Linked DNA regions of Oryctolagus cuniculus. The protein of the gene in region 1 purifies or fractionates together with the protein of each later gene. This does not show direct contact. Links are inferred from orthologs where the notes say so. Each region holds a gene or a part of one and is shown in the gene's direction. Other genes may lie near its edges.

The links. Proteins that work in one complex are often made in the same cells at the same time.
Region 2: the proteins of EIF4A1 (region 1) and IBTK purify together in Homo sapiens (co-immunoprecipitation; 4 studies listed by BioGRID and IntAct, counting the BioPlex papers as one, with this or other methods). This does not show direct contact. The link is inferred for Oryctolagus cuniculus from reciprocal best matches to the Homo sapiens genes EIF4A1 and IBTK.
Region 3: the proteins of EIF4A1 (region 1) and EIF4G3 purify together in Homo sapiens (co-immunoprecipitation; 6 studies listed by BioGRID and IntAct, counting the BioPlex papers as one, with this or other methods). This does not show direct contact. The link is inferred for Oryctolagus cuniculus from reciprocal best matches to the Homo sapiens genes EIF4A1 and EIF4G3.

The regions. Positions count from the first base shown.
Region 1 is NC_091448.1:52,143,380-52,148,032, forward strand, and holds the end of EIF4A1 (eukaryotic initiation factor 4A-I), read left to right. Parts: intron 1-239; coding exon 240-379; intron 380-657; exon of another isoform or gene 658-802; intron 803-1,115; coding exon 1,116-1,284; intron 1,285-1,392; exon of another isoform or gene 1,393-1,539; intron 1,540-1,632; coding exon 1,633-1,742; intron 1,743-1,867; coding exon 1,868-2,011; intron 2,012-2,093; coding exon 2,094-2,231; intron 2,232-2,314; coding exon 2,315-2,404; intron 2,405-2,441; exon of another isoform or gene 2,442-2,585; intron 2,586-2,645; coding exon 2,646-2,725; intron 2,726-2,820; coding exon 2,821-2,965; 3' UTR 2,966-3,491; downstream 3,492-4,653. Other genes in the region: CD68 (macrosialin), read left to right, coding at 4,084-4,129, 4,226-4,653. UniProt on the Homo sapiens protein: ATP-dependent RNA helicase which is a subunit of the eIF4F complex involved in cap recognition and is required for mRNA binding to ribosome.
Region 2 is NC_091436.1:90,251,788-90,256,608, forward strand, and holds part of IBTK (inhibitor of Bruton tyrosine kinase), read left to right. Parts: intron 1-1,863; coding exon 1,864-1,981; intron 1,982-2,067; coding exon 2,068-2,248; intron 2,249-4,821. UniProt on the Homo sapiens protein: Acts as an inhibitor of BTK tyrosine kinase activity, thereby playing a role in B-cell development. Down-regulates BTK kinase activity, leading to interference with BTK-mediated calcium mobilization and NF-kappa-B-driven transcription.
Region 3 is NC_091438.1:149,845,014-149,849,834, forward strand, and holds part of EIF4G3 (eukaryotic translation initiation factor 4 gamma 3), read left to right. Parts: intron 1-2,327; coding exon 2,328-3,152; intron 3,153-4,821. UniProt on the Homo sapiens protein: Component of the protein complex eIF4F, which is involved in the recognition of the mRNA cap, ATP-dependent unwinding of 5'-terminal secondary structure and recruitment of mRNA to the ribosome. Functional homolog of EIF4G1.

The DNA.
Region 1 (4,653 bases):
TCACAGCCCTGTTTTCTGGCTTAGTGCAATGCTAGAGTTGGTAGCCTGATCGTTCTCTGGATTTGCCCCCGTTATGTCACCATACTGTGGTGGGGAAGGTTTGTAAGGCACTTAAGGCGTCATTCATGATTGGTTGCTTGTTGATCTCAGCTCATTGAGTTAGGCGTAAGTCAGGATTTGACTGTCCCATGAGCCCAAAGTGCAAGTTCTCCGCCAGATCTCATTTCTTGTCTGTCTAGGTTATGATGTGATCGCTCAAGCCCAATCTGGGACTGGGAAGACGGCCACATTCGCCATATCGATTCTCCAGCAGATTGAATTGGATCTGAAGGCCACCCAGGCCTTGGTACTAGCACCCACTCGGGAATTGGCCCAACAGGTGAGAACGTGGCTTCTTTCTCCTGGAGGAATAATGAGCATAGCCTAAAATCCCGGGGGGTTACTTCCAAGGAGGAAGAGGATGCTCGGGGGGTGGGGTGGGGTGGGGTGGGGTGGGGTGGGATGGGGCGGTGATTTTTAGCTGGGTTAATTATATGTCATTTCCTACCCAAACGTAACAGCTGCCACTTCTCCACCCATTTCCTGAGTCAAATGACAACACTGCTGGGCCGGGCCTGACTGGCTAGGCAAGTTGGGTGACTGTTTATGCACACCCCCCACCCCTGGCAATGGGCAAAGAGACACCTCGTTCGTGGTGCTGCTCTTATATCAGTCAGGGGCAGAGCAGATGCGCAGTCCTTTGTTCATCCTAGCTTGATGCCTGTACTGGTGGCCAGAGCTGTTTCATGCCTAGGGCACAAACCCTGATGGTAGAAGTGATTATTCTGATGGGAACCGGGCGCAGATACTGTAACCAAGAAGTGATAGTAAGCCTGTTAAGACTGAACGGGTCGTGTGGCTTGTGTTTGGGGGCAAGGGTGTAGTTGGCCGTGTGTGTGTCATGTGGCTCTTTAAACTGGCTATGAAGCGGGTAAATAAATAGACCACAGTTTTCAGAAGCTGAGGGTTCAGTTACATGTATCATGGTTGTTGGGAAGACCAAATCCGTGGAAAAGTGAGATGGGACCTGCCACGGTTGTAGCTAACAGCTGCACACCCACCTCTCTCTGGTTCAGATACAAAAGGTGGTCATGGCATTAGGAGATTACATGGGTGCGTCCTGTCACGCCTGCATCGGGGGCACCAATGTGCGTGCTGAGGTGCAGAAGCTGCAGATGGAAGCTCCGCACATCATCGTGGGCACCCCTGGCCGCGTGTTCGACATGCTTAACCGGAGATACCTGTGTGAGTAGCTCAATTTTCCACTGCCCTGTATCCCCCTCACCTTAGCCAAGCCCTCCTTGTCGGCCAGCTTCGTTCCCAAGGCCGCTCGTTCTCCCTCCCCTGAAAGCTGCTCTGTGATGAACCCCATGCGTGTCAGCTGAGCCCTGGCTTCCCTGTCCTCTCAGCCCAAGCCCAGGGAGTGTTCTACTTCCTGGGGCTGTTGATTGGCCTCCAGGGCAGCCCTGGGCAAAGGATCAATCTCTGTATTCTGAGAGCAGACTGCCTCTGTCTCCCCTGTTCTTCAAGAAAGTTGGATATATTGCCTGTTTCCCAAGCTACTACATAGTAGTATTTCTTCCATGCCTACAGCTCCCAAGTACATCAAGATGTTTGTACTGGACGAAGCTGATGAAATGTTAAGCCGTGGATTCAAGGACCAGATCTATGACATCTTCCAGAAGCTCAACAGCAACACCCAGGTGAGAAAGGCAGTGCTGGAGGAGCTGCCGGGAGAGCCCTCGCGTCTCGCACCTTCTGTGGGACTGGGGACGGGGCGGGCGTCCTGCAGCATCGCCTACCCTGAGGCTGGTCTGTGTTTCACCAGGTGGTTTTGTTGTCAGCTACAATGCCTTCCGATGTGCTCGAGGTGACCAAGAAGTTCATGAGGGACCCCATCCGGATTCTTGTCAAGAAGGAGGAGCTGACGCTGGAGGGTATCCGCCAGTTCTACATCAACGTGGAACGCGAGGTGGGGCCTGGGTGCAGGAGGCGGGCCCGGGTGGGGACCTGTTGAGTATAGCCCCTGACTGACTATTCGCCCCAACCTCCAGGAGTGGAAGCTGGACACACTATGTGACTTGTACGAAACCCTGACCATAACCCAGGCTGTCATCTTCATCAACACTCGAAGGAAGGTCGATTGGCTCACTGAGAAGATGCACGCCCGGGACTTCACCGTCTCTGCCATGGTGAGCATCCTCGCACGCCAGCCTGTGTGAGCCCAGCTCCCCTGTGCTCGTCTCGATCGCTAACCTTCGGTTTTCTCCCCTAGCACGGAGATATGGACCAAAAGGAGCGAGATGTGATCATGAGGGAGTTCCGCTCTGGCTCTAGCCGAGTACTGATTACCACTGACCTGCTGGTGAGTAGGGGGATTTCCAGCGCTGGAAGGCAGAAGAATCCAAGGTGATTCCCTCTCCCAGGGGCCCGACTAGTGCCTCTCTCAGGAAAGTAGCAACTTGGAAGAAAATCCGGCATGCCCAAGGGCTCTCAGAGACAAGGGGCCGCTTGCTTCCTTTGCCTGCCTTGGGCTGCCTACATGCACTCACTGAGCCCCTTCCGGATGGACTGTGTGCACTGAATTCTTCTCTGTCTCCACATAGGCCAGAGGCATTGATGTACAGCAAGTTTCTTTAGTCATCAACTATGACCTTCCCACCAACAGGGAAAACTATATTCACAGGTGAGTGTGGGTCTGGACCTCCTGCCTAGCCCCCTGCATCCTGGGCGGAAGCTTTGGACATCCCTCAATGCTTGCAATGTATCCTTGTGTTTCAGAATTGGCCGTGGTGGACGCTTTGGCCGTAAGGGTGTGGCTATTAACATGGTGACAGAAGAAGATAAGCGGACTCTCCGAGACATCGAGACCTTCTACAACACCTCCATTGAGGAGATGCCCCTCAATGTTGCTGACCTCATCTGAGAGGGGCTGTCCTGCCACCTAGCCCCAGCTGGGGTTCAGTCCTCAGGGGCTGAGGAGCAGCAGGAGGGGGGAGGGGAGGGAGCCAAGGGATGGACATCTTGTCATTTTTTTCTTTTTTTTTTTCTTTGAATAAATGTCACTTTTTGAGGCAAAAGAAGGAACCGTGACCATTTTAGAAACCCTTTTCTTTGGGGTAGGCTCTTGCCCCAGGCGCCGTCTCCTCCCAAAAAAACAAAAAAAAAAACACTAATCCATTTCCCTAACCTAGTCACCTCCAGGTCCCAGAGGCTCTCCCACCCCAGCTGAATCCCTCCGAACTTGATTCAGGGGCCAAAAACAAGTCACTCAACCTCATGTGCCGGACCAAACATGCAAGGAGCAGCCCCTAGTGAGGTTGCCCAGTGATTGAACCCAGCTGGGGGAGCAGGGGAGAGAAAGTGGTAGCCATTTTTACATTGTTTTGTATAGTATTTATTGATTCAGGAAGCAAACACGAAATTCTGAATAAAATGACTTGGAAACTGCCTGTTGGGCTTCTCATTTCTTCCTTCCCTCCTACCTGCTACTGGGTATGTCAGCTACCTTAACTACCTAGAAGTTACCAGAAGAAGCCATTTTCTAGGTCCAGAAAGTTGTAATAGGATAATAGGAGCTACTGAGGGCTTGGGTGTGTGCTGTCATAAGTGGTCACATGTCTCGCTAGGAGGAAGTCATGAAGCATGGTGTGTGGAAAGGGGCTGGCCAGAGGAGGGGCCTGCTGGCTATAGGGGCTGGTTAGAACCACTGGCCCTAACTGCCTAGTGAGGTTTGCTAAGGGTGACAAACGGGCCCCACCAATCAACTGCCTCACGGCTCCATCATTCTGTAGTCATGGGACAGCCTTGACTTTGGCCTTGACACCTCCCACTCGTGAGCTGGGGCCAATAGTCCCCTAACAAATGACTAGTGACTAAGAGATTGGTGGCTGGAGCCCGTGGTGCTTGAGTCAGCCTGGGGGTGGGATCATCTGTTGCAGGAAGTAAGAGACTTTCATTTCCTTTCCCAAGAGAGGGAAGAGGGAAGAGGGCTGAGCAACTGGTGTCCAGTTGAGAGTCGGCATTAGGTGAGGTGGATCTGCCATGAGGCTGCCTGTGCTTTTCCTGGCCTTGCTGGGGCTACACGCAGGTAAGAAGGGGGTAAGAAGGGGGCACGGAGGGGGAACTTGAGGAAGCCAGCCCTTTCTGGGTCGCTGACCAGCTTCTTTGTTCCCTCTGCTGAAAGCCCAGGGGACATGGCCTTGGCCTCACAAGAAGGCAGCCACTCTGCTGCCATCCTTCACGGTGACACCTACAGCCACAGAAAGCACAGCGAGCTCTGGAACAACCAGCCACAGGACTACCAAGAACCCCCACACCACCAGTCACAGCACTGCCACCCCAGGCACCACCAGCCACAGACCTACAACTGCCACTCCTACCACTGGCCACGGAAATGTCACGGTTCATCCCACGACCAGCAACACCACCACCACCACCGGGACCAGCCCTGGATTCTCCACCAGCACCCCCCACCCAGGACCACCTCCACCCCCTCCAAGTCCTAGCCCAGGCTCCAGAGAAGCGGTTGGGAACTACACGTGGACTAACGGCTCGCAGCCCTGCGTCCAACTCCAAGCCCAGATTCAGATCCGAGTTCTGTACCCAACCCAG
Region 2 (4,821 bases), on another chromosome or scaffold:
GTACTCCATAGATTAGCCTCCAAACTACCCTAGATTCAGTGTTGAAGTATTCATAATAGAGATGTGGAGGATTTGAAGCTTAGAGTTTTTAAATCCTCTTTAAGAAAAATTTCATTTATCAGTACAAAATGGGCCAGTGCAAGTGAAGCATCTAGAAACTCAACTTCTATTTTGCTTCAGCAAGTCTGCCTGTGTGTGAATGTCATATTTGGTAGTTGATGAGAGGGGACATGGGTCTAAAAGCCACATTCTCAGTTCTTTCTGACTTTGAACTGCACAACCATCACCAGAAAGTGCCCTTTACAACATTCAGGGCCCTATAATACATAGAACTGAGATTGGTGCTCTAAATTAATACGAAGAGTCATCACTGATAATGTGTTTTCACCTTAAACTTTTTGCGTTTCAGAGGTTAAATTTCTTTTTTTTTTTTTAGTAGAAACACTTACATGAGAGTATAGACAAAGGCTGTAAACAATAATCAAATCTTAAAATGTTCATGTAGTTTGCATTTTTTGTGCTGTGTGTATTATTACCAGAAATCAGGGAAAACATGGGATATTTGTCTTTTAGGGACTGGCTTATTTCACTAAGCATAATGGTTTCCAGTTGCATCTATTTGTTGCAAAAGACAGGATTTCCTTTTTTTTTTTTTTACTGCTGAGTGATATTCTGTAGTGTATACATACCACATTTTCTTTATCCAGTTGTTTGCAAGTTTAATGTTCTGATTTAAAAGTATTTCTAGATATACTTTTTTAAATGAACATTTAAATTCAGAACCTTTCTATTTGTTTTGATTAATGGATCAATAGAAATTGTTCAAAACAATTGGAGGTGTTCAGCCTGATACTTTTTAGAAGAAATGTAATTTCTTTTTAAAAATTTTATTTATTTATTTGAGAAGTAGAATTATAGAGAGAGAAAAAACAGAGAGAAAGGTCTTTATTCACTGGTTCACTCCCCAAATGGCCACACCGGCTGGAGCTTGGCTGATTAGGAGCAAGTAGCTTTTTCAGGGTCTTCCACGTGGGTGCAGGGGCATAAGCACTTGGGCCATCTTCCACTGCTTTCCCAGGCCATAGCAGAGAGCTGGATTGGAAATGGAGCAGCTGGCACTCCAGCTGGAGCCCACAAAGGATGCCTGTGCTACAGGAGGCAACTTTAACTGCCATGCCCCAGCTGTAGCCCCTACAATTTCTTTTTAGTCATTAAGCATTTTATAGAACTAAGAATGGCAAAAATATTCTTATTGTGTGGCAGTCTTGGAGCTCTTGTTGATAAAAGAATACCTGGTATTCTGATTTGGGATCAACTTTGACCCCTGGTAGCCATTTGACAATGCCTGGAGAAATTTGTATTCTTAACAACTAGAGGGAGTTGGTGGTGCTACTAACAGGTGGTCAGTAGAGTTAAGCGATAGTACTAAACATATGGCACACAACATAATCCCTTACAACAAAGACTTGTTTGGCCCAAGTTTTAATAGTGCCACTGTTTTAACAACCTGGGTATGTCAAATTTGAAAGTATCACATTTTCTAATAAAGAATGAGAATGCCTGTTTTGTATATTACTTGGTAGAAAAACATAAGTAACTAAAAGTTTACTAATTTGGTTTTTGTGCCATGTCAGTTTTCCATATGTTAAAACTGCCGACTGAAAGTGCATGGGAACATTGTGTTTTGAGAAGAGGCTGTGTCTCAGTATGAGTGCTAAGCTCTGTTAGCAATGATTGCCATTAACACTGGAGGGACGCTAGCAGCAAATATGCTGTATAAGTATTTACCATCCTGGTTTATTGGATCTTTGAAACATTGTACTAGATTAGGTAATCTGCAGTCTTATTTGTCTTTTTGAATAGATGCAGGCAAAATATCTGAAAGGAAGGACAATCATTGGGGTAGCAGCGGGCAGGTTTCACACAGTGCTCTGGACACGAGAAGCTGTTTACACTATGGGACTCAACGGTGGACAACTAGGTAAGAAATCGTTATTGACTTTTTAAAAAAAAATGGGCTCTTGGACAGATATTTTATGATTTGTTTATTTGTATGATTTTTTTTAGGCTATTTGCTAGATCCCAATGGAGAAAAATGTGTAACTGTTCCTCGTCAAGTCTCTGCTCTTCATCATAAGGACATTAGTGTGTCTTTGGTTGCTGCAAGTGATGGGGCCACTGTCTGTGTAACCACCAGGGGAGATATTTATTTACTTGCAGACTACCAGTGCAAGAAAATGGCATCTAAGTATGTATATTTCTGTGAAAGAAGCATAACTTTAATAATATGGGTTATTTAATAATAGTTATTTAATAATAGTTCTCTTCTTCTAGCAATTATCTTGAGTATCAGCTTAATGCTATGTTTTGTAAATGTCCGATGGGAAAGGTTGAAATGTGTTGGGGAGAGTCAGAAGTCTTTTCCTTTCATCTTAATCTTTTAGCAAGGATCCAGTAAATATGAAATTTCTCTTTGTAAATTGTAAAGCAGTATTTCTGAATTGTGTTTAACATGTGGTTAAATATGATCTATGTGATTTTTCTTTTTGTTATTGTTCATAATTCTTGGTTGTGACAATATCATCATCAGCTCATATGTAGCCTTTTTGATATTATACACATATTTTTAAAAAATAATTGTACACTTGGAACTCTATATACAGGTTCAGTATTTATCTGGCATTTTTAAAAATAATCTTTATATTTGTGTAGTCTCTTTTTAATTGCAATAAGCTAGAGGTTAGTTGACTAAGCAAAAAGATCAGAGAATCATAACATTTTTAATATGAATGGATTTACCAGTTGGAATGCCTTGTTCTTTGTGTATAAACAGTACTTATAATGTATCACCTGTGATTTCATTTTGATTAGTTTAAGGAGAAAGTGCTTAAAAACTGTTGTGAAGAAATCTAGGTGCAAAATCCTTTGTTTTTAATATATTTCAATCTTTTATAGTTGGTGAATCCATATCTATTTTTATAGCAGTTTTATAGAAAATGCTTTTGTTCTTTTTATACTACTATTTCATTAGTTTAGATAATATTTCATTATGTAATTATAGCAAAAAATGAACGCATAGAAATAGGTCTGTTGCATAAATACAACTGATTCCTAGAAGATATGACTCTTATTAGTGGAAATAGTCATAAACGTGAATTCTGTTTTTTTTTAAAGACATTTATTTATTTATTTACCTGAAGTAACAGAGAGAGAGACAGAGAAAGAGAGAGATCTTCCATAGGTGGTTCACTCCCAAATGGCTGCAACGGCTAGAGCTGGGCAGAACTGGGAGGATCCAAAGCCAGGAGCCAGAAGCTTTTTCTTGGTCACCCATGTGGGTGCAGGGGCCCGAGTATCTGGGCCATCTTCTGCTGTTTTCCCAGATGCATTAGCGTGGGAGCTGGATTGGAAGTGGAGCAGCAGGGACTTGAACCAGCACCCATATGGGATGCTGGCACTGTAGGTGATGGCTTTACTTGCTATGCCACAGCACTGGCCCTATGAACATGAATTCTAGAGAATAACTGTCTAACTTTGAAAGCAATTAGGAATTTAAATTTAAATGCAACAAAATGTGCTTTTGCTAATTAAGAGTTGGTAGCTTCTTAAACAGGTACCCTCTATGAAGTTAGCTCCTGTTCAGAAAATGTCAGACATCAGTTTGTCACAAGCTATCTTCTGTGTCCATCAATTAGAGAGTTAGACAGTGAGAGAGACAGAGAGAGAGTTATAGGCAGTGAGAGAGAGACAGAGAGACAGAGAGAAAGGTCTTCCTTCCGTTGGTTCACTCCCCTAATGGCCACTACGGCCAGCGCTACACTGATCCAAAGCCAGGAGCTGGGTATTTCCTCCCTGTCTCCCATGCGGGTGCAGGGCCCAAGCACTTGGGCCATCCTCCACTACCTTCCAGGGCCACAGCAAAGAGCTGGACTGGAAGAGGGGCAACCGGGACAGAATCTGGTGCCCCAACTGGGACTAGAACCTGGGTGCCGATGCCGCAGGCAGAGGATTAGCCAAGTGAGCCATGGAGCCGGCCAGAATGTTACTTTTAACATAATTATAATTCATATTTCTGTATAGAAACATGAAATTGTGAAAATACATGTTTTCTTAGAACTGATTAAAAAAATTTTTTTTTCTTGAGCATGGGGTGATTTGTGGTATAGTAGGTTGTATTTTTGCTTAACATTTGTAAGACTTGCTCTTGAAACAGTGCATTCTATAAATGTAAGTTATATTCAAGTTTTTAAAAGAAAATTCCTTTGTTACAAAATAAGTTATGACATGGTAATTTTAATTTCTGTGATGTTGGCAAACTGTCTGAAAGTTAGGAGTGTGATTGGAATAGCATCAGGCAGGTTTCACACAATGCTCTGCGTATCAGATAAACAGATATAATGTGTGGCTAATGGATGAGTTACTAATTAGCAATTGTGATGACTTTCGTGGTAGGATATCTATTTAGGATTGGCCACATTTCAAATTTAGTGTTTCTGTTTCATTTTGAGGTTTGAAAATTTTCTTATCTGTTAACATTTTCTTTTCTGTTGAAATGCAGTTATTTGTAAGAGGTTATAGCCTTACTAGTTATTTAAAGCCCTTGGTGAATATGTGGAGTAACAAGTGGGTTTAGGTATTTAATGGTTATGTGGATAGAGGCATTTGAGTGGGAAGGATTTCCTTCAGAAAGTAATGGCCACCTTGTAGGGAATACTTTTAGAAAAGAAAGATGAGGAATACCAATAACCAAATCATTTTACTTCACTTTTCCCTGTAATTGCCTATAGTTATTGTTTGGTAATTTCTCTAAAATTTAGCACA
Region 3 (4,821 bases), on another chromosome or scaffold:
TTCATTCTTGCATGATTATTTCATTAGGAAAAATTATTTAAAATCGAATCTCTACACATTCCTAAAGCTGGCCAAATGTTTACTAGTAAATAAAAGTGTTGAGAGGGATAAAATAAATGTTCTCTATTTAAATATACTGTATTGTAGTTCTCAACTTCCTGTATCTTAGCTTTGATGAGTAAGTTAAATAATTTTTATTTCAGAGTAAGAAAGCTTTCAAAATAACTAACTTTTTTGTTTCTAATTTTCTTAATGCTAGATTTTTCTCAATAGTATGTAAAAGTTTTCAGCCCTAGACCTTCTTTTCTTTCAATTTTTAATCTCAGAAATTTCATATCCCCAAATTTATCATTGAATTGACATACACATACTAGATTGTTAATATGATAATTATTGGGGTTTTTTTTGTTTATTTTTGAAGTTACTGCATTTAGGTTTCAGTGAGTGCTAAGAGTGTAATTCCAGTATGCTTTCACAGGACTCCGATATAATCTGGTTGGCCCATAACAGTTACTCCAGTGAGTTGAAAATTATTTCTATCAGAAATATGTTACTAAATACACATTTATTATATGTTACACATAGAACACATATAAAATAAAGATACTTTTCTGAAGTATTTTTTTTTCTTGCCATGGCAGCTTAGCATGAGGAATGTGGCAGAGAGCCTTTTGATTTTACCACTAGAATAAATAGGCAAAATTAAATTGTAGAAGCACTAGCTTCCATGCCCAAAAATTAAGGTGAATTTTAAGTCTTGTAATTACAGTGAATGAATTAGCAAACAGCTTAATGGTGGTATCTGTCATCTATTTCTCTTTCACAGACTTAGCTACAATTTATTATAAAGACTCAATTCCACCAACACATAACAAATCTAGGGGAGAAAGTAAAGTATGTTTTACTTTAGACTGTCATTAATAATGCTTAAAATTTTTGTCAGCATTTGGTAATCATACTCTGAGTGTCTGTTTTTCTAATGGAGCCTTTTATTTTGCTAAACAAGCAAAGGCTTGAAGCCAGAATCTCCTTTAGTTACATCCACTCAGGGATAAACCATGTATCCACTCATCTGGAATTTTAGAACGTGGGGTTTTGTTAACTACCATTCCTTATATTTTTCTGGTACCCTAATGGTCATCAGATTCTCTCTCAATCTCATTCTCTGTATGTCTATACACAGATTGGTATTTTATATATAATTTCAGTACTGCAGACATGTATATGTTGTATTCTCTTTTACTGAGTGTGTTTATATGAGTATTTACTTTGGTTTTTCCTTAAAGAATGCTCTTATATGTGAAGATATGTTTCCATTTTTATACCTTAACACTATTTCTGATTATGCTTATTTTAAGAAATGAATGTGGCCGGCGCCGCAGCTCACTTGGCTAATCCTCTGCCTGCGGCGCCGGCACCCTGGGTTCTAGTCCCCGTTGGGGCGCTGGGTTCTGTCCCAGTTGCTCCTCTTCCAATCCAGCTCTCTGCTGTGGCCCAGGAGTGCAGTAGAGGATGGCCCAAGTGCTTGGGCCCTGCACCCACATGGGAGACCAGGAGGAAGCACCTGGCTCCTGGCTTTGGATCGGCACAGTGCGCTGGCGGAAACGGCCACTTGGGGGGTGGACCAACAGAAAAGGAAGACTTTTCTCTCTGTTCTGTCTCTCTCTCTCTCTCTCACTGTCTAACTCTGCCTGTCCAAAAAAAAAAAACCTTAAATAAATTTTTAAACTGCACTTTATGTTCAGGAAATTGATTTTAGTGATAATAAACTTCATCATTAAGAAATAACACTGTGTTGGTTTCTGTTAAGACATAGTATTTTTGTACAATTAATACATGTTTTATAAAATTCACCCAATTGCAGAAATCTATAGAATGAAACATAGCATCAATTTCTTTATAATAATTTTATTTCTAATATTTATCCTTGGTAGTATCTCACTATGGGTAGATAAATTTTCCATAGGAAACAGGATTGGTAGATATGGTCTCCCCGCTTACAGAAAAGTCCTACTCTCAACCCAAGAATGGTTGAGCTTCAATTTTGATGAGCTTTTCTGTTGTTTTTTTTTTTTTTTTTAACATAATTATTTTGTTAACTGGTTGCTTCCCTTGCTTCAAATTAAACTATGTATTGGAGACCAAGTGATAGTATAACTAAGGAAAAAAAAACATTTTTTGGAGTATTACTTAAGTCTAATATTTTGGTTTCTATTGTGCTACTTGTGATTTAGGGTTAGAGGTTAAAAAGAATTGACCCAAGGAAATACAGTACAGTCTCTGATACAGAATTATTCTTAAAAATCTTTTATTTTTTTCTTTCCCAGAAGAGAAGCCAAAACCAGATCCAGTGTTAAAGTCTCCTTCCCCAGTTCGTAGACTAGTCCTTAGTGGGGAGAAGAAAGAACAAACAGGTCAGACATCTGAGACTACTGCAGTAGAAACCATACCAGAGCTTCCTCTGCCTCCGTCACCTGCCACTGTTTCTCCAGTTGCTCGAAGTACAATTGCTTCCCCCAGCTCTGCTGCTCTTAGTAGCCAGCCATTATTCACCACTGCTGTAGATGACAGATGTGAACTCTCTTCCTCAAAAGAAGACACAATCCCTATACCTAGCCCCACATCTTGCACAGATACGTCAGAGCCATCACCAACAGAGAAGACTGACGATGATGTATGCAAGAAACCCTGTAGTGTAGCACCTAATGATATGCCACTAATTTCTAGTACTAACCTAATTAACGAAATGAATGGAGTTAGTGAAAAATTGCTAGCCACGGAGAACATTGTGGAAATAGTGAAGCAAGAAGTGTTACCATTGACTCTTGAATTGGAGATTTTGGAACATCCTCCAGAAGAAATGAAAGTGGAGTGTATCTCAGCTCCCGTCACCCCGTCCACAGCTCCCTCCTTTTCTCCAGCCCCTCCGACTCCTCCAGCTTCCCCTCCTCCTACTCCAGTCTTTCTTCCTGCTGCAGTCACAACTTCCAGTGCTCCTCCCACAGTCCAGAGAGTCTTAGAAGAGGAAGAAAGCATGAGAACTTGCCTTAGTGAAGATTCAAAAGAGGCTCAAAGCAAAACAGAAGCAGATGGGCAAACAGAAGAGATTATGGATTCTCGGAGCTTAAATTCAAGAAAGAGCCCCATCCCAGGTAAGCTGTTCTGCCATTAATACTCTTATGCTTACTGAAGAAGAGGTGCTGTTTGAGTTATTGTTTAATGGCCTACTTTCCTTGACTTCCAGAAACATCCATTGAATGCTGAAATTCCTAGTCTGATTTCTTCAGTGATGTGTTTGTGTTTTAGTACAGTCTGCAAAAAAGTTACTCCATTGTCTAAAAATGCAAATGAGAATTTCCAAATATACAAATGTCTCCAAGGTATATGTCACTATACATGTTTGGTTCATATTTTGTTTTTTCTTCTTCTTCTTCTTCTTCTTCTTCTTCTTCTTCTTTTCTTTTCTTTTCTTTTCTTTTCTTTTCTTTTCTTTTCTTTTCTTTTCTTTTCTTTTCTTTTCTTTTCTTTTCTTTTTTTTTTTTTGCCTTGTTCTTATGAATCAGTTCCTCAGTGGTTGATTGTGTTGCTTTGGACCTAGGAACCAGTCGAAGCTAGCATAATGTATAATTCTTAATACTGTCTTCTCAGAATTCAGAAACCTAGTCATCATAAACTTAAAGGACCTTCTTTATGCATGGCTCCTTTTTTTTTTTATCTTTTTAGGATAATGGCAATCAAACATAAAGATTTATGACTGCTTCTGAATTTTTTTTTTCTCTTTTTATTTATTTTTTGACAGGCAGAGTGTACAGTGAGAGAGAGAGACAGAGAGAAAGGTCTTCCTTTGCCGTTGGTTCACCCTCCAATGGCCGCCGCGGCCGGCGCGCTGCGGCCGGCGTACCGCGCTGATCCGATGGCAGGAGCCAGGTGCTTTTTTTTTCCTGGTCTCCCATGGGGTGCAGGGCCCAAGCACTTGGGCCATCCTCCACTGCACTCCCTGGCCACAGCAGAGAGCTGGCCTGGAAGAGGGGCAACCAGGACAGAATCCGGCGCCCCGACTAGGACTAGAACCCGGTGTGCCGGCGCCACAGGCGGAGGATTAGCCTAGTGAGCCGAGGCGCCGGCCATGAATTTTTTTAAAGATTTATTTATTTGAGAGGCAGAGTTACAGAGAGAAAGGTCTTCCATCCACTGGTTCATTCCCCCATGGCTGCAGTGCCTGGAGCTGGGCCAATCTGAAGCCAGGAGCTTCTTCCAGGTCTCTCACATGGGTGCATGGGCCCAAGCAGTTGGGCCATGTTCCAGTCCTTCCCCAGGCCACAGCAGAGAGCTGGATCAGAAGAGGAGTAGCCAGTTTATGAACTGTACCCATATGGGATTCTGGCATTCCAGGCAGAAACTTAGCCTACTATGCCGCAGCGCCAACACCCTTATTCTAAATTTTTTTTTTTTTTTTTAGATTTTAAAAACTTATTTGAAAGGCACAATTAACAGAAAGAGAAAGAGAGAGCAAGACAGACAGACAGCTTTCCATTCTACTGGTTTACTTCCCAGATGGCCACAAAGGCCAAGCATTGGCCCGGTCGAAGGTAGGAATCTGGAAAGCCATCCAGGTCTCACACGTGGGTGCCACAGGCCCAGGTATTTGGGCCATTTTCTGCTGCTATCCCAGATGCATTAGCAGGGAGTTGGCTTGGAAGCGGAGCACCTAGAACTCCAGCCGACACTCATTTGGGATCCTGGCATCACAGGTGGCAGTAAAACCCACAATGCCACAATGCCAGCCCTTACTTCAGAAAATTAAAATTATTTCTCTGATTA